Linked DNA regions of Cricetulus griseus. The protein of the gene in region 1 interacts with the protein of each later gene in a pairwise test. Links are inferred from orthologs where the notes say so. Each region holds a gene or a part of one and is shown on either strand. Other genes may lie near its edges.

Evidence for each region.
Region 2: the proteins of Ushbp1 (region 1) and Fam107a interact in binary tests that used the Homo sapiens proteins (3 or more experiments, as listed by UniProt). The two-hybrid records come from large-scale screens. The link is inferred for Cricetulus griseus from reciprocal best matches to the Homo sapiens genes USHBP1 and FAM107A.
Region 3: the proteins of Ushbp1 (region 1) and Dydc1 interact in binary tests that used the Homo sapiens proteins (3 or more experiments, as listed by UniProt). The two-hybrid records come from large-scale screens. The link is inferred for Cricetulus griseus from reciprocal best matches to the Homo sapiens genes USHBP1 and DYDC1.
Region 4: the proteins of Ushbp1 (region 1) and kelch-like protein 38 interact in binary tests that used the Homo sapiens proteins (3 or more experiments, as listed by UniProt). The two-hybrid records come from large-scale screens. The link is inferred for Cricetulus griseus from reciprocal best matches to the Homo sapiens genes USHBP1 and KLHL38.

What each region holds. Positions count from the first base shown.
Region 1 is NW_023276806.1:247,620,572-247,624,617, forward strand, and holds the start of Ushbp1 (Usher syndrome type-1C protein-binding protein 1), read right to left. Parts: upstream 2,801-4,046; 5' UTR 2,431-2,800; intron 2,181-2,430; 5' UTR 2,107-2,180; coding exon 2,053-2,106; intron 1,955-2,052; coding exon 1,833-1,954; intron 1,605-1,832; coding exon 1,190-1,604; intron 1-1,189.
Region 2 is NW_023276807.1:166,707,002-166,710,950, forward strand, and holds the start of Fam107a (actin-associated protein FAM107A), read right to left. Parts: upstream 2,801-3,949; coding exon 2,722-2,800; intron 1-2,721. UniProt on the Homo sapiens protein: Stress-inducible actin-binding protein that plays a role in synaptic and cognitive functions by modulating actin filamentous (F-actin) dynamics. Mediates polymerization of globular actin to F-actin. Also binds to, stabilizes and bundles F-actin.
Region 3 is NW_023276807.1:179,045,273-179,049,237, reverse strand, and holds the start of Dydc1 (DPY30 domain-containing protein 1), read left to right. Parts: upstream 1-1,165; coding exon 1,166-1,312; intron 1,313-1,757; coding exon 1,758-1,859; intron 1,860-3,965. UniProt on the Homo sapiens protein: Functions as part of axonemal radial spoke complexes that play an important part in the motility of sperm and cilia. Plays a crucial role during acrosome biogenesis.
Region 4 is NC_048603.1:29,296,805-29,300,981, reverse strand, and holds the start of kelch-like protein 38, read right to left. Parts: upstream 2,801-4,177; 5' UTR 2,024-2,800; intron 1,388-2,023; 5' UTR 1,387-1,387; coding exon 37-1,386; intron 1-36.

The sequences.
Region 1 (4,046 bases):
TGTGAGAGTGTTGGGTTGCTGGGAACTGGAATTACAGGAAGTTGTGAGCTTCTGGAAGAACAACCAGTGAATGTTCTTAACTGCTGAGCCATCTATCTCTCCAGCCCCCGCCTTTTTGACTTTTTTCCTTTTTAATTTTTAGGAGACTCAGTGTTTCCCTGGGTTTTCTGGATCTCCCCAGCTCCAGCCATCCTCCTGCCTCAGTCTCCCACCATCACACTCAGGAAGGAGAGTTTCATTTTTATGTTGGTGAGAAGAGCCTCTCCAAACTGAGTGCTGAGCACCCTAGCCCAGTCTGTCTTTACTTCTATTTTGAGACGTTTGCCTATCTTGTCTAAGCTATTGTGATCCTCCTGTCTTAGGCTCTAGAGTTCTTAGCATGACAGGCTTGTCCCACAACACCTGGGTTTAACATCACACACAATCTGCCCATTTCTGGTCACCACCACCTTACTCTTCCCCGGGCCCACTGTTATCGCCCCTCCCCCACCACCAGGGTCATGGTCCACCACCAGGCTGTTCCTTCCACGGTCAGCAGATGGCGCAAGGGAACACCTCCAGCAGGTCCAATTCCCCGCAGAACCCAGAACCCTCTGGGGCTTCGCAGTACACATAGCACAGCTGCAGTCCTGCTCAGCCTCCACATCCTGCATACTGTGGTAGTCCCTCCTTGCCTGAGAGTTTTAATATGAAAAGAGCCTCTTCCTCCCCAATTGCTTTTTAGTGGTGGTGTTTTATCACACCAATAGAAACCCTAAGACTGGATTGATTTGTGTGTGTGTGTGTGTGTGTGTGTGTGCGCGCACGTGTGTGTGTGTGTGTGTGTGTGTGTGTGTGTGTGTGTGTGTGTGTGCGCGCGCGCCAGGACCTCACACACTCTAGGCAAAGCCTCTATCACTGAGGTACTCTGAAACTTTTAAAAAACAAACAGAAAAATTGACACAGGTCTTTAACCCAGGCTGGCCTTGAACTCAGTCTACATCTGAGAATGACCTTTGTCTTGACCAAGTGGCCTCTGATTGAGATCTGTCTCTCCTCAGCTTCTGGGGTGCTGAGATCATGGGGTGCACCCTGCCTGGCTTCCTTTTGACCCTCTCTTTCACTTTGCTGTCTTCCTTGGTCACTTCTGTGGCTGTCATTCCTCCACATCAGTTTGTTGAATGAATAAATGTGTGTTTGTTCAGCTCACCTGTCTCTGCAGAATCTCCTTCTCTGCCTGGGCATCCTGCAGGGAAGCCTGAGTGCAAACCAGCTCATCCTCATGGCGGCCCAGGGCCAGCCGCAGCCAGGCGTTCCTCTCTCTGAGGCGAGCTGCCTCGTGCTGTTCAGGCCAGGCTTCTTCCTGACCATCAAAGGGCTCCAATGCCATCTGGTCTCTCTCTTCTTTTTCCAATGGCCTTGGAAAGCTTCGGGAGCGGTGGCGCCAGGCGGCCACAGTGGCCTCAAGGGAGCTCAGCCTGCTCTGCAGGGTCTCAAACACACTGGGTACTGATGTGGCACCAGAGCTGGTATCCAGAGGGGCTGCCTGCAGGGTCTGGTGGCCTTCCACCTTTGACTTCAAGGCTATGGCCCCGTGGGATCCCATGTCACAATCACCCTCAGGCCTGGAAAGACAACCCAGGAACCCCAGCCACCTGAGTCTGAGCAGGGGCTTCAGGGCTAGACCTCAAGGTCCCTGGGAAGGGTGAGCAGGCAGTGAGCTGAGGAGGAAAAGGAAGGGAAGAGAGAGATGGAGGGGGATAGAGGAGGCAATGGACACTAAGAGAGGTGGGCAGGGCAGCTTTGTGAGGGGCTCCTGCTGGAACAGGAAGTAAGCACTAAATTCGTCCTACCGTTTCCCTGGGCTCTGCAGGTCAGGACCAAGGTGCTCCTGAAGTAACTCAGGTTTGGACTCGAAGCTCCCATTGGTGGCCTCCACCTCCTCTGAGCTCTCAGCCACTGGGTCCAGCTCCCCCTGAAAATGACAACCCCACCACGGCAGGTTCTAGTCCAAGCAGGCCTAGGCTCCAGGATCCATGAGGTTGGGTGAAGCAGGAAGAGGGGCACACTTACAGGCTGAGGATGCCTCCCTCGGCGGCTTCGGGGCCTAGTGGCCCGGGCGCTCATTGCCTCTTTAACCCCCTGGTTACAGCCCGCTCTCAGATCTTCCCTTTGTCTCCCCGTATCATTCGGTTTTCACCCTAGGAATTTTTGGTCAACTGCACTGACAGAACATTTGGATACCTCTCCGATGGTGCCCATTGCCTGTCTATTTGCCCCAACCTCTTGCCCCCTTCTCTGGTGCTTTTCCCTCATCAGTGTCCCCCTCTCTCCCCTATGGAGGTATGGGATAGGGACCCCAAGAATCTGCTCTCCTCCCAGGACTCTCCTAGCACCAAGCTCCCTCCCCTGGGAGTGGGGGGCTCCACCCTCTCCTCTGCTCCAGGGCACCTTGGGAAAGGCCTGAGTGCCTGGGCACATCTCAGGTCATCCTGGCCACTGGCTGCTGAGGCTGTGCTGGCCAAGGCTGGCCTGGGAGGGGCTGAGAAACAGGAAGCCTCCTGCCCTGGTCACATGGAGAGTTATTGTCTTGTTTCCTTCTTCAGGATGTCAGCTTCCTCCAGAATGTGGACAGGATGGAGAATTGGGACCCTTGTGCCACTCCAGGCTAACAGCCCAGCCCAAACTTGCAGTCCCTTTCTCTGTTTCCATTTCAGGGTTTCTCAGTGTCCATCCCCAGGTTCACCAGGGCTCACTCTTACTGTAAGCTCTCTCTCTCTCTCATTCTCTCTCTCTCTCTCTCTCTGTGTGTGTGTGTGTGTATGTGTTACTCTCTCTGTCTCTGTCTCTCTCTCTGCGTTTCTCTCTCTGCCTCTCTGTCTCTGTCTCTCTCTGTGTGTGTTTCTCTCTCTCTCTCTCTCTCTCTCTCTGTGTGTGTGTTTCCTCTCTGTCTCTGTCTCTCTCTCTGCGTTTCTCTCTCTGCCTCTCTCTCTCTCTCTCTGTTTCTCTCTCTCTCTGTTTCCTCTCTGTCTCTGTCTCTCTGTCGTGTGTGTGTTTCTCTTTCTCTCTGTGTGTGTTTCCTCTCTGTCTCTGTCTCTCTGTTGTGTGTGTTTCTCTCTGTGTGTGTGTCTGTGTGTTTCCTCTCTGTCTCTGTCTCTCTGTTGTGTGTGTTTCTCTCTGTGTGTGTGTCTGTGTGTTTCCTCTCTGTCTCTGTCTCTCTGTTGTGTGTGTTTCTCTCTCTCTGTGTGTCTGTGTGTTTCCTCTCTGTCTCTGTCTCTCTGTTCTCTCTCTCTCTCTCTCTCTCTCTCTCTCTCTCTCTCTGTTTCTCTCTTTGTGTGTGTTTCTAAAATTAAAAATAACAAACCTGTAGGCGTGGGCTCCAACATTGGAATAAATTTTATTTTTCATTACTTTGTTCTATCTATTTGTGTCTGTGGTGGGTGAGCTGCAAGCACTCGTGGGATCGATCCTCTCCCTCGGTCAGGCGTGGTGGTGGCCGCACCTGCTCTCCGACCCACAACGGTTTTCTTCAAGCAGAGCACCGTCTGTTGGCGCCGGAAAGCTCCCCCGGGACAAGGAGCCTGTCCACGGTATCTGCGGGATTTTCTTTATTTTTCCTTTCCATTTTGGCTTTTAGAAGTGTCTCGTATAGCCCAGGCTAGCCTAACACCTGACGTCATCTTCTGCCCTCTGGAGTGCGGAGATGACAAGTGTGCTCCCCAGCCCCCATCGCGATGGTATTGGTGAGTGCCAACATATGTAAAAGACGAAGCAGAAATACATGACGCAAATCCACGTCAAGTCCCACCGCGTCAATCACCAATCAGCCCCGCCCAGGTCGGCTCCTGTCCTATCTCAGCAGAAGCCTTGACAAGTGTAGTGTTGCTTCAGTCAACCCCGTTCTGTCACACCCATCCCTAACACTACCCCACTTCAGCCCCACTCCTGCCAGTGTGCTCTAAGGCACACCCCCAGGATCCCGGGGCCATTGAACTACATTTCCCAGAAGACGTTACGGCAGCACCGTGCAAACTTCCGGTCAGGAAGATGGCGGCTTCCTAGAACCC
Region 2 (3,949 bases), on another chromosome or scaffold:
GAGTTCTTTTTCCAAAAACTGGCTCTTAACCCATTGCCATTGGCATGGTGAATTTGGTCTCTAAGAGTGATCTTACCCCTATTTCATTTTCCTATCAGTGAGACAAACCAGGATATATTCTGTTGTTCCCTCCCTTTCCCGTGCCTCCCAGGTGTATGTATGTGTGATGGGAAGATCATAGAAAGCCATCTAACTTCAGAAAGCCCATGGTTGCAGGCCTGGGGGAAGGGTGGGGGAAAGCAGCACTCCTAGAATTTAATTCAGATAAACAATGGATTTTTTTGTTTTGTTTGTACAAGCACATCCATTTTATCTTTGGAGCTACTTGCAATAAACTCTTCTTTGTTGTTTATGTGAGGTTCAAATTGCACCAGGGTTCAGGTCTTTTTGTTGTTTGTTTGTTTGTTTGTTTGTTTGTAATGTTCCTTGGCAATAGTAGTGGAATGGAGGTTTTACTGCCCCCTGGTGGCTAACAAGGAGTACAGACCTGGGGAGGTACCAGGATGCAGACAGAAGCCTTTCTCCCCAGGGTGAAAGTAATACTTGCCTGGTAGACTTTTATGGAAGGACAATAGCTTTCCAGGTATGACTGAGCATGAGTTATATCACAGAGTGAGTTCTTCCAGTCAGGGGGCTATGAGTATCTGTGCCAACCCAGGCACCAACATTGGATGGACTGCTGTACAGCTAGGAGACCTTCAACATGCCTTCCTCATCTCTATAACTGGGCAGTTGTTCTGAAGAATGGAGGACATAGGCATGGCAACCTCAGCCCCAGAGCTGGGCCACCTGCCTAAGTGATGCTATTACATCATGTAACAGCATTAAAGTTCCCACTGAAGTGAAAAAACTGGAAATTCAGTATGAAACAAATGTACAGGTAAACTATTCCTGGGATAAACTAGAAGGCAACATCCTTAAGTGTAACTATCAGGTGTTTGTAGCTAGTAGGATTATGGGGTAAGTCCTGCCCCTTTGATCTATGGATGCAAGCATCACTATATTGCAGAGATGGGAACAATTGTCACTCTTTGTCTAAATCAGTGATTCTCAGCCTTCCTTTAATACAATCTCTCAGTTGTGGTGACCCCCCAACCATAAAATTATTTCATTGCTACTTCACAACCATAATTTTGCTAGTTATAAATCGTAATGTAAATATCTGATATGCAGGATATCTGGTATGTGACCCCTGTGGAACCCCAAACAAGTTGAGAACCACGGATCTAATCATACTTTGGAGAGGTAGCTCTGAGTTTGAAAGTGTTTTCTGTCTCTGGGGAGGGTGGAAACCTCCTTAGCAGACTATGGGCTGCTGTTGCAGCTCTGTGGAACTGTCACCTTATTCACTAAAGGGAGAGGATGATTAGTGCGACCTGGCAGAACTGGGAAGGTGGAACTAAACATTTGATGTTTCTAGTGCTTACTCTATCAGTAAGCACTCAGCCCTCAGGGAGGCCTCAGGGAGACAAGCCTGTGACTCGGGAGCTCTGACTTGTCTGCTGTGTAGATGCACCAAAAGTTGAGAAAAACATTCACAGCTAGAGAAAACTCAGGGTCTTTCGGGTTAGGGAACCTTGCTGCCCGCTTTAGGAGAACGGGCACCTCAACACGGAACTTTGAAATCTGATTCTTCTATTGGGGGTTGCTGGCTTTATGCAGGCAAGGAAGCCCCCAGGAAGCCATTGTTGGTTTTGAATCCTTGGTAAGTTATTGTTTGGGGACTTAAGAGAACCCTTGTTCAAATGTTCACAACCAGTAACTAGGCGGCAATATCTCAGTCGGCAGGGGCGGGAGTTGGGGGTGGGGTCGGGGTGGTGCAGGGCAGCAACTCTGATCCCTAAGCTGTAGGCGGACCCAACGGCGCCTTGGACCCAGTCTGCCGACTCTTGGCTGAGACCCATTCCTTGCAGAGAAGGCTGCTGGTCAGGGAGCCAAATCCGTTGACACTTTCAAATCACTTTTACCGTTCCCCAAACCCCCTCCCTGAGTTCAGCTCCAGAAGGAAACATCCTAAGCCCTCATCAAGGGCATTTTCTCCCTTTTTTCTATATCTCGATGTTTTCCCAAACTATTTTTATGCTGACCATATATTCATTTATTTTATTATTTGGCTAAAAGGCCTTTAAAGTTTCCTGAGTAGAAAATACAGTGCTTCTCCGCACATAAGAAAACAAAAAGTTTAGAGATGAACACCTGCCATCCAACCACATCCACAACATCCAAAAGACCGCCATATGCCTCCTTCCCAATTTTTTGCACGCCCACATTTAGCAAATGCCTTATGAGCTGCCTGACCCATGCTGTCCCCTCATCATGGGCAACCGTGGTGGCCAAGACTCAGGGCTTTCTTCCTCCGTGGAATTCCTTCCTGCTTGGCTGTCAGACCTCCCTCCCTCCCTGACTGCCAGTGCACGCTCTTGGGAACACTGCCAGGTACTAACCCCGACAGGGACCTCGCGGAACCCCTGCAGGCAGGATGTGGAGTGGAAGCACAAGTTTGCATTTGTGCATGCTCATGTGTTTCCTCACTCAGGATGAGGGCAAAGGATGGAAGGAAAAAATGAGAAAAAAATAAAGGAAGGACAGAGCAAAGAGTGATGGAGAAACGTCAAAGCTTTGAGATGATGGGAACCAAAAAACCTGGGCACCAAGAAAGGAAGAACCAGGACCCTGCAGTCTGCAGAGGGTGGTCCCGGCGGCGACGTGGTTTCCACTTACCCGACCTGAGCAGCATCGCCCGGTACAGCCCGGTGGCTTCAGCGGGTGCCTTGCCCCACTCGCCCAGCTTCTGCGCCATGCCTTGAGCTGAGTGTCCCGATCGCAGAGTCTGGACTGGGGGCCTGAGCAGCGTCTCAGTGATAGTGAAGCCCTGCTGCTCCACCCGCCCAGGGATCCGGTTACCTTAGGCTTCTGAGACACAGCGGTGGTGTAAGACCGCTGGGAGCACAGGCAGTCTCTGTGCCCGGAGCAGTCAGGGCGCAGCGGGCGTCTGGACACCCTTGCAGCATCACATGGAGCACGGCCCGGCTTCCTTCCAGCCTGGCCTCTTGCCTACCTGGCCCAGTTCTTGGCCTCTGGCCTCTGTGAAGGCTACAAGCAGGTATGGGATTCGGGAGCGCCATTCCTGGGATCCATTCCCAGCCAGGCTGGTGAAAAGAAGCCCAGGGTCCTCTTCTGAGATGAGTGGAGAACGATAGTCCTTCACCCACAGGGTTACTAAGGTGAGGCTTGGCAGGGGTATACATGAAGTGCTAAGAACCCGGCAGTTCGGAGCAAACACTATGCATCTGTACTTTTGACTCGTGGTCTGAGGATGTTGCTCAGTTAGTTGGTAGAGGGCTTGAACGAAGCCTGGGCTTCATTATGCAGCATAGCACAAAAGCTGGGATGGTGGTGCACACCTGTAATCCTAGAGTTTAGGAAGTGGAGGTAGGAGGATCAGGAGTTCAAGGTCATCCTCAGCTACATTGCTAGTTTGAGACCAGACTGGGCTATGTGAGAGTTGTCTCAAAACACAAGCAAGTAAACAAACACACGGCAAAGATTCAAGAAGTACAGAGAAGCAGTGTCTTTGTTGCAGTAGAGAGAAGATGAAGGGGAAAGTTGGTAGGACGCCACAAGAACGATTTCTCTGGCTTTCTGGTGTCCCTTAAACAGCCAGAGGGGAAGACTGAGGGTGCATCAAGCAGTTTTGGAATATGCAGATGTCTACAGCTTTGGTTACCTGCTCTGCCTGCATTGGGCTACAGTGCATCTAAAACAAGAGAGTATAAATTATGCACTCTTTGCGTTCCAGTTCATTTAGTCTTTACAAAGTTGGGTCTCTTGGCATTCTGATTTTACAAAGGAGTGGAAACGGAAGCCCAGAGAGTCTAACCTACTGCTCTGAAGTCACTCATCATGGAGCTAGGGCACAAATTCAGATGGTCTGACCCCAGACACTGAT
Region 3 (3,965 bases), on another chromosome or scaffold:
ACAGCTGGGAGTGGGCACAAACTTGCTCAGTGCTGTTAGCCCTGTGACCAAAATACTCCTTGGGAACCTAGAGGGGTCTGTCTTCTAGAAGAAAGACAAGCATAGGTGCATGGTATGCCTACATGCATGCATGTTCTCTCTCTCTCTCTCTCTCATCTCAGGCAGCATGATGAAGGCTGTATGAACTACTTGAAGCAGGAGGAACCTTCTTGTACTGGTTGAAAAAACTCTTAGAGCTAGAGCTGGTCTGTACCTTGAAGGTGAGGAGCCATGTTCCAACAATAGAGGGAGGATCGTGGAGTTGGAAAAGTGCAGGGTGTGTTGTGTAGAATGGCAGAATATTTGGTAGAGTAAGGGCCTAGGGTGGATGATGACAGGCAGGTGCTTGAGGTAAGCCTAAAGTTTATGGCTAGATTATGAGTAATTGCATGCTGTTTATTGGAATCTGAATTTGTATTCTCTGGCTTTGACAATACATGATTTTTCAGAAGAGATGGACAGTTTGTGATGTTTTATGGAAGTACATAGCAGAAGCATCTTAGAGTCAATAGACTTAAGGTTCTGAGGTCAGGCAGTGGGTACAAACCATACATTCACATGCCAGTCAAGTGCTCTGGACTGTTCACTAAAGCTCTTTGAGTTTGCTTCCCTGTCTGACCATTGCCTGAGATGTTGTGGGCATTAACTGGCACCAGCATTACTTGGCACAATGTGATGAATAACACTAGTGCCCATTTCTGACCCTGGGACTAAACAAGAACTGTCAGGATGTAGTAGCTATTTTCACTATGACTTCTGCAGAGACCTTTTGTAGACCATTTGGAGTTTCCTTGGGCCAGCCTGCTTATTTCATCCTTAATAAGAAATACCCATGACTAGTGACAGAGTGGAATGTTCCGGTAGCCATATATATATATATATGGACAGGGTTTCTCTGGGTACTCTCTGTAGACCTGGAACTCTCTCTGTAGACCAAGAACTCTCTCTATAGACCAAGGTGGCCTTAAGTTCAGAGATCTGCCTGCCCCTACTTGCCTCCATAGTTCAGGGATTATAGATGAATTCCACCACTGCTTAGCTTGACTTTACTTTTAACTCTGCCTATTCAGAACACTTTTGGCTCTAATGAAAAACTTTTATAGATCATTTTATTTAGGAATTAAAAATGGAGTCATCATATCTTCAAAAGTGCCTGGGGACATGCCTGACTCAAGGTCTCGCTGAAGTGGCAAGAGTCCGCCCATTGGATCCAATAGAATATTTAGCCTTGTGGATTTATAAGTACAAGCAAAATGTGATCATGGAGCAATTGGTAAATATGGATCTCCTTTCAGGAAATTAGAAGAGCATGATAATTGGTTCATCTTGTTTACATTTTATGTTCAATATTGTTTTTCCATTACAATAATGTTTATTATATGAAAACTTTGGACAGTATGTGAATGCAGAGAGGAGAGAAAACAGAAAGAAGGCTTCTGTTTTGATTTTAAGTATTTTCAACCCAGTAGTGTCTTTTCCTGACATGTTTGTCTGTAGATTGGTTTCATTTTTCTTTATATTTGATGTATAATCTTAATTGTGTGTTCTTTGTTTGGCTAAATCATAAAAATCCCCCAAATTGTTGTATAGTTTCCAAATGAATAGAGCATTATGTTCTTAGCCCTTCTTTTATTGCTGGTGGTTGAGATGCCTCTGAGACTGTGTTAACAGATTGGTCTCTAATAAGTTGTGTGCTGTTGCTTTTTACCAATTGCTAGAGACAGAAAGAGATGATTGAGTTGGAGCATGAGAGAGAATTAGCACTGATGGAGCAGGAAATGCTGGAGCGACTCAAAGCTGAGGAACTCTTATTTCAGCAGGTAAGACAAGCACTCAAATATGATGGAAGTTAACAGTGTCACCCTTGGTGTGCTACAACCCACATCTGGAAATACTCCCAGGCTCTGGTCATTCAGACATTGCTCCCTAGTATCCCCATCCTTTTTTTTTTTTTTTTTTTTTTTTTTTTTTTTTTTTTTTTTTTTTTTGTGAAGAGACAGTGCCACGAGGAAACAGAACAATTCAGAGAATAGTCAACAGCACCACTGCTGAGCTGGTGCTCATTTATAGCCCAGGCAGTCTCTCCAGGAACAGTGGTGAGTGTGAGGTGTAGAGGGTAAGAAGGGGGATGGTGAGTGAGCATTATGCTTTAACGGGGTTTGTGAGGGGAAGGGAAATGGGTTTTATTTTGATTCAGGAACACATGGAACACGTAATAGAAAAATCGAAAAAACCATCTAAAACCTTCTATCCACTGTAAAAAGAGGCAATGGGCCTGGAAAACAAGTGGATGAACCTTTCTGTTATTGCAGCTCAGAGACAAAGCATAGGTGGCTAGGTGTAGGTGGGTGTATTGGCTTGTGACACAAAGTTGAAAGCTGACTTGGTGTGACTTTATGAGGTAAGAATCAACCAGGACCATATACTTAAGAATCAAGTGATGAGGTAGGAGGGATGGAAAGAATGATGAAGGTCTGAAATAATACCTTAGGAGGATGGAAGGGTAGGTTGTACATCCCTGACCTAAAAAAAAAAGAAACCCAAAACAAGAAATATTTCTAAATATGTAACTTTTTGCGTGCTTACATGGTGTCAAGGAATGGAAAATTACACATCGTTAAACTTTGTTTCACATAGCAAAATGATAAAATGTGGTATTTGATTACTTTCAGTTAGAAGATAAAATATAACTGAATTTCATGTTGTCTTGGGTACCTTACCTGAGTCATCTTACTACAGTCTTAAGCATTTCTGAAACAAGTATGATGTAGTATTTGGAGGCCAAGCATCTGTAGTAGTGCTGCCCACTTGGACCTGTCCTCCTCTACAGCTAGATCTGTCTCTACTGAAGAGAAGCAGGGAGTCTCAGCTGTTCTTCTTTCCCAAGACAATGAGTTCACTATGGGGATATACTTCACAGCCTTTGATGCGTCTACTTCATTCTACTGGAATAAAATTTTAGTTACACTAGAAATTCAACATTTTCATAGCTGTGTTAGCCAGCAAAGCTAATCTTCTGCATGTTGAACCCAAAGCATTTCATTTGCAGGGGGTGTGGAATGTAGGATGACATTCTACAAGAGATGTTATGGTTAGTTAAAGAAGTGGATGGGTGGGCAGAAGTAGATAAGAGAAGGAGAGCTGAACCAACAGAAAAGGGCTTAACAGGGAGTGTGTTGAGATGAGAAGTAGCAGATCATTCTTTTTCTCTTGCTCCCTGAAGTGTTTGAGTTGGAGGCTGAGGATTTGGCTTCTTCCTCGAGGTCATTTACAACTCAGCACTGATGGGTTTCCAAGAGTAATTCATGGACACCTTTGCAGCATCCTCTCCTAAACAAAAGCCAGAGAAAAAGCTGGGCAGGTGGTACACACTTACAATCCCTGTTCTGGGAAGGCAGAGGGAGGAGATCTTAAGTTCTGGCCTAGCCTAGGTTACATAGTGAGACTGTCAAAAATTAAATAGAGTAAGCAAACAAAACTCAACAAAAGCTGAGAGAAAATGCTCAAAAGCATTTGACTTGTTTTTAGTTGACAGCTGATATTGTTCCTAGTGTCAACAAATTGATCAGTGACTAAAAACAAACAAACACAAAAACAAACAAAAATAAAAGAGACATGACTGCTCCTAGGTATGGTGGAGGAGAAAGTTTACGGGGAGAGTATAGCCAGAGGCAGGTACATCAGAGTCCAGAGTGAACATGATCCTGAGCTGGGTCACATGAGGAGAGGGACAAGGGGAGAGCCGGGAGAGTAGAGAGTAAACAAAAAGGGTTTGGTAACCAATATGTCTGGGTTATATAGACAAGGGCATCTGGGGAAAGGGCACCCCAACCCCTGGGCTGGAAAAGTTTAGGAAGTGGGCTATGTCAGCCATACCCTGTAACAGTTAGGGACTGAGGAATACTAGGATAATGTAGTGGCCAGGT
Region 4 (4,177 bases), on another chromosome or scaffold:
TTGGTCCTAGCGTGGAGAGAAGGACCGGCTGGTTACCTGGACGAGGCGCACAGGGTTCTGCATGATGTCCTCACCCCCAAAAAGATAGAGCCTTTGGTCCTTCACGGCAACCGCAGGGTGGAGCACGGCCACTGGCATGTCAGCCATGCTCTCCCAGACATCACAGACGCTGTCATACCTCTCCATGGAACCCAGGAGCTGCTGCCCTTCTCCGGTGCCCCCGATGGAGAAGATGAAATTCCGGTGGGCGGCGCTTCTGTGAGAGTAGCGGGCTGCCAGCATGGGCTCCCCGCGTCTCCACTGGTTGAGTTTCAGAGAGAAGACATACACGCTGGCACTGACGGCACTCTTGCCCTCCCTCACAGCCACGCCCCCGAGCACGTAGACGCTGCGGTGCAAGGTGACAGCCGAGGCCTTGTACAACCGCGCGGGGAGTTTGGCCAGGCTCTGCCACTGGCCAGTGTGTACACTGTAGAGCAAGACATCCCTGGTGGTCTGCTGGTTGTCCTTCTGGCCCCCCAGGACAAGGAGGCAGTCTTGGTAGCAGCTCCTCGGGGGTTCGTGCCACACGAGTTTGCAGTCCTGGGCACTGGGGCTGTACAAAGAGAACATCTGCTTCCTGGCCGCCTCCAGGATGGCCCGGCACGCGGGCGACGACTGGAGGACAGCGTCGTTGGCAATGAAATGGTGAAAGAAGGCAGGATGTATGTACTGCAGCCGGACTTGCTGCAGAAGTTCCTGCATGTAGGGCCATCGGGCCTGGAGGTCATGCTTGACCCAAGCCATGAGGGCCTCAAACACCTTTTCCTCCTCGCCGCAGAGCCTGTCATCTCCTAGGTAGTCTCTCAACTCCATGGCACAGAGCTCCTTCAGGTCAGCCGACGCTGCTACCTCTGGGAAGCAAGTCAGGGCCACCTCCCTGGCTCTCTTCTTAAGGCTTTCACAGTTTAAGATTTCCGCGAGTCTGACCAGGCCCAGGCAGTTGTTGGGGGCCAGCTGGCTCTGCAGGTATGATGAGCAGGCCTCGAACACCCTGGGGTACTGCAGCATGGCGGCTGCCTCCATCAGGGGGAGGACGTTGGCAGCTGTGATGTGCACCTCTCCCGTGTACACATACGTGACGACCTGCTCTAGAGTGCTGGAGTTGATGCCCTTCAGCCACACTTTGGCCTCCGTGCTCTCCCGGAAGTGGCTGCAGAACATGGCCTTGAAGTAGGGGCTGCTGGAGGCCAGCACATTGCGGTGGCAAGGGACCTCCCAGGCTCCGGAGCAGATGCTCACATCGGTCAGGGTCTTGCTCTGCCTTAAGTCATTGAGCTGTCTCAACAAGTCAGAGGAGAAGTTGTCGTCTTTGAAGACAACCCCATCTGGTAGCTCCTCATCCATCCTACAAAGAAGGAGGGAAGCCCCAAATGGAAGCAAGGTCAAGGCTTTCTGGCATCGTGTACTAGAGGGGTTAGCTGTGGGGGCTCCAAGCCTCGTTCATTGTATCTATTTACCAAGTCAATGGGTTCACAAACAGAGCACACTGAAGAGGGAAGAGGAAACCACCCTCATCGCAGACCACAAAGTGATCTACTTCAGGCTGTGAACAGCCTCAGAGATAAAAGACATGTAGCATCTCCAGCTAATCTTAGGCCTCTTCCAACCAAAGTTGATGGTCAGAGACTCACATATTAGCCTGGCACAAAAATAAACAAACAAACAAAAAAAGCAGTCCATGCATTTGACAAGTAATGTATGCCTTTGTCCAGATCATTAGCAGATTTGCCAGTAAACTTGTCTACAAATCTTTCTTGGAGTTAGTTATTCCCTAAGGCTGACATTCTGGGGGTGTGGTCTTCTGGTCACTGGACAGAAGTGAGGGATTACAGCGGGCTGTGGCCAGATCTAGAGAGAAGACCGCATGGTCTCTGGGTTTTGTTTTAAAGATGTAATTAGTAGAGAACACCAAACACTTCTGTGGCTCCTTGGTGACATGGACAGTCTGCCTGCTGAGGAATGACAAGTTAGGGACACCTACCTTGTTTTGCTGCAGTGACATCCACGGATGCCGGGTTTGTCTTGTCCCCTCAGAAGGTTTCTACCTTAGTCTTGGAATAAAACCATAAACCCCAGGCCTTTCCTTCTGTTGGCAAATTCTCTGTCCTAGATGAGTTCTGGGTTTGTTTATGCTGCAGGCACTTTCACAGCTCCTAGAGCTCGGTGCAAGGGCTGCCGGGCAGGCAGACAGTGTATACATTCCAAGCCTAAGAATAGCTGCATATGTACTTTCCAGTGTTATGACATGTGACTTTCCAGTTGCCTTTTGCAGCCACCCGAGGGCCTGCAGGGCTGCGCATGCCTGCATGGCTTGTTTCCTTGGCGAGTGTTTACATCGGCATAAATAGAAAGGGAGGGACGGATTCTCTGACCAAGGCTTTGCTGTCCATTTGGATGCATCCCGAGTCCCTTGTCCTAAGAGAGCCTTGGAACTCTAGCTGTTTGTAAACAGGTTGCTGTGACCTGTGCGGAATCGCTGCAGACAGACAGCTCTGGGTCACAGTAGAGGTGGCAGGTGGTCATAGGAGAGGCAGAAAATGAACAGAACCCAGGGTGCTATTCCGTAGGGGTCCGTCCGCCACCTTCTGCCTGGCAGGACTGTGGTGAGGGCTGTGGTTCCCTTTCAGGCCCCAAGGCAAAGCAATCAATCCAGAGCAAGGGCTGGTGTTTTGTTTTGTTTCTGTTTTTGAATTTGTCAAGCATTCTGGAGTTTTTAGACTTGGGAAAGTCCTGGCTCTAATTGAGCCTTCTCTCTCTCTCTCTCTCTCTCTCTCTCTCTCTCTCTCTCTCTCTCTCTGTGTGTGTGTGTGTGTGTGTGTGTGTGTGTGTGTGTGTTTGTCCTTCTGTCTCCTGGTACAGCTGTGTACTCTGGCTTGTAATGTCCATCTGGACATCTGCAGCTGCTCTTCACCTGGGCTCTCTTAGACCTCAGGCTTCCTTCTCTGTCTCCTCTCACCACAGAGAAGTGAGTTAGAAGCAGGAGGCAGGGCACATAGGTCCAGGGAGAAGGAGAACAAAGGAGGATAGGATGAGGAGAAGAGGAGAGAAGGAGGAAGGGATGGAGAAAGAAGGAAGGGAAAGAAAGCCAGAGGGAGGGGGGAGGGAGGGAGGAGGGAGAGAAGGTGGAGGAGGAAGGGGAGGAGGAAGGGGAGGAGGAGGGGGTATGGAGGAAGGGTAAAGAGGAGGAAGGGAGGGAGGGAAAAGGAGGAAGAGAAGACAAGTTGGAGGGAGACAGAGAGGTGAAAGGAAGGTGAGGAGGCCGGGGAGAAAGATCAAAGAGGAGCAGGAGGAGGAAAAGGCAACGCGGAGGGAGAGGCTGGGAAGAAGAGGAGGAGGCCAGGAAGGGAGAAGAGACTGGTGGTGGTGTGGGCTAAGGACCCAGCTTTGGTCTCTGGAAGCTGAAACAATGGAAACACAACTTCCCCAGGGCTTGGAATGCCTAAGTCATGGTTCTTCCGGCTGCTGAGCAAGCCGAGCATGTTCTGGTGGTGGTGATGGGCGGCGGGGGGGGGGGGGGGTTTGCAGGGCAGCCAGGCCCACAGCGGTGAGCTTCAGCACGCTGGAAGGGTGGCGGGCCACCCCTCCCTTCACTGCCGTACGCTATTGCTCTAGCCATGAGTGGCAGTGAAGCCTAACTTCCTCTCCCCACGCCGCTCAGACTCTTGGAGCAGCCTCTCCTGCTGGCTTAGCCCTTGTTTGTAGCCCCTCCACAGCCACTACCCCTGCCATGTTGCCATAGGCGACAAGTCAGAAGCTGCCAGGCTCCGAGCCACGGCTCTGCTGGCTGTCCATGTCAAGAGCTCTTCTTAGCGGGAGTCAGGTTGGTCTCTGGCTCTTCCCAGAACCACACTGTCTCCAGGAGACAACTTACAGATCCATGCACATGTCTGTGAGTGTCTCTGTACGGGGGGCCTGGCTTTTGGGGTGCTCAGCGCAGGGTAGAAGGGGTGTTCTCACTCAGTTATAGGCCATGCCCTCAAAGAATTCACGTGGTCAAGGTCACGACGCACATCCAATGCGTGGCATTGGGACCAGGGGTCTAGAGGCAGAAGTAGTAATAGCAGAGAGAGAGCCTGTGCCTAAGGGATCAGAGAGAGATTGGAGCTGAGGGCGGGGCTTGTGGATGCTGGCCACT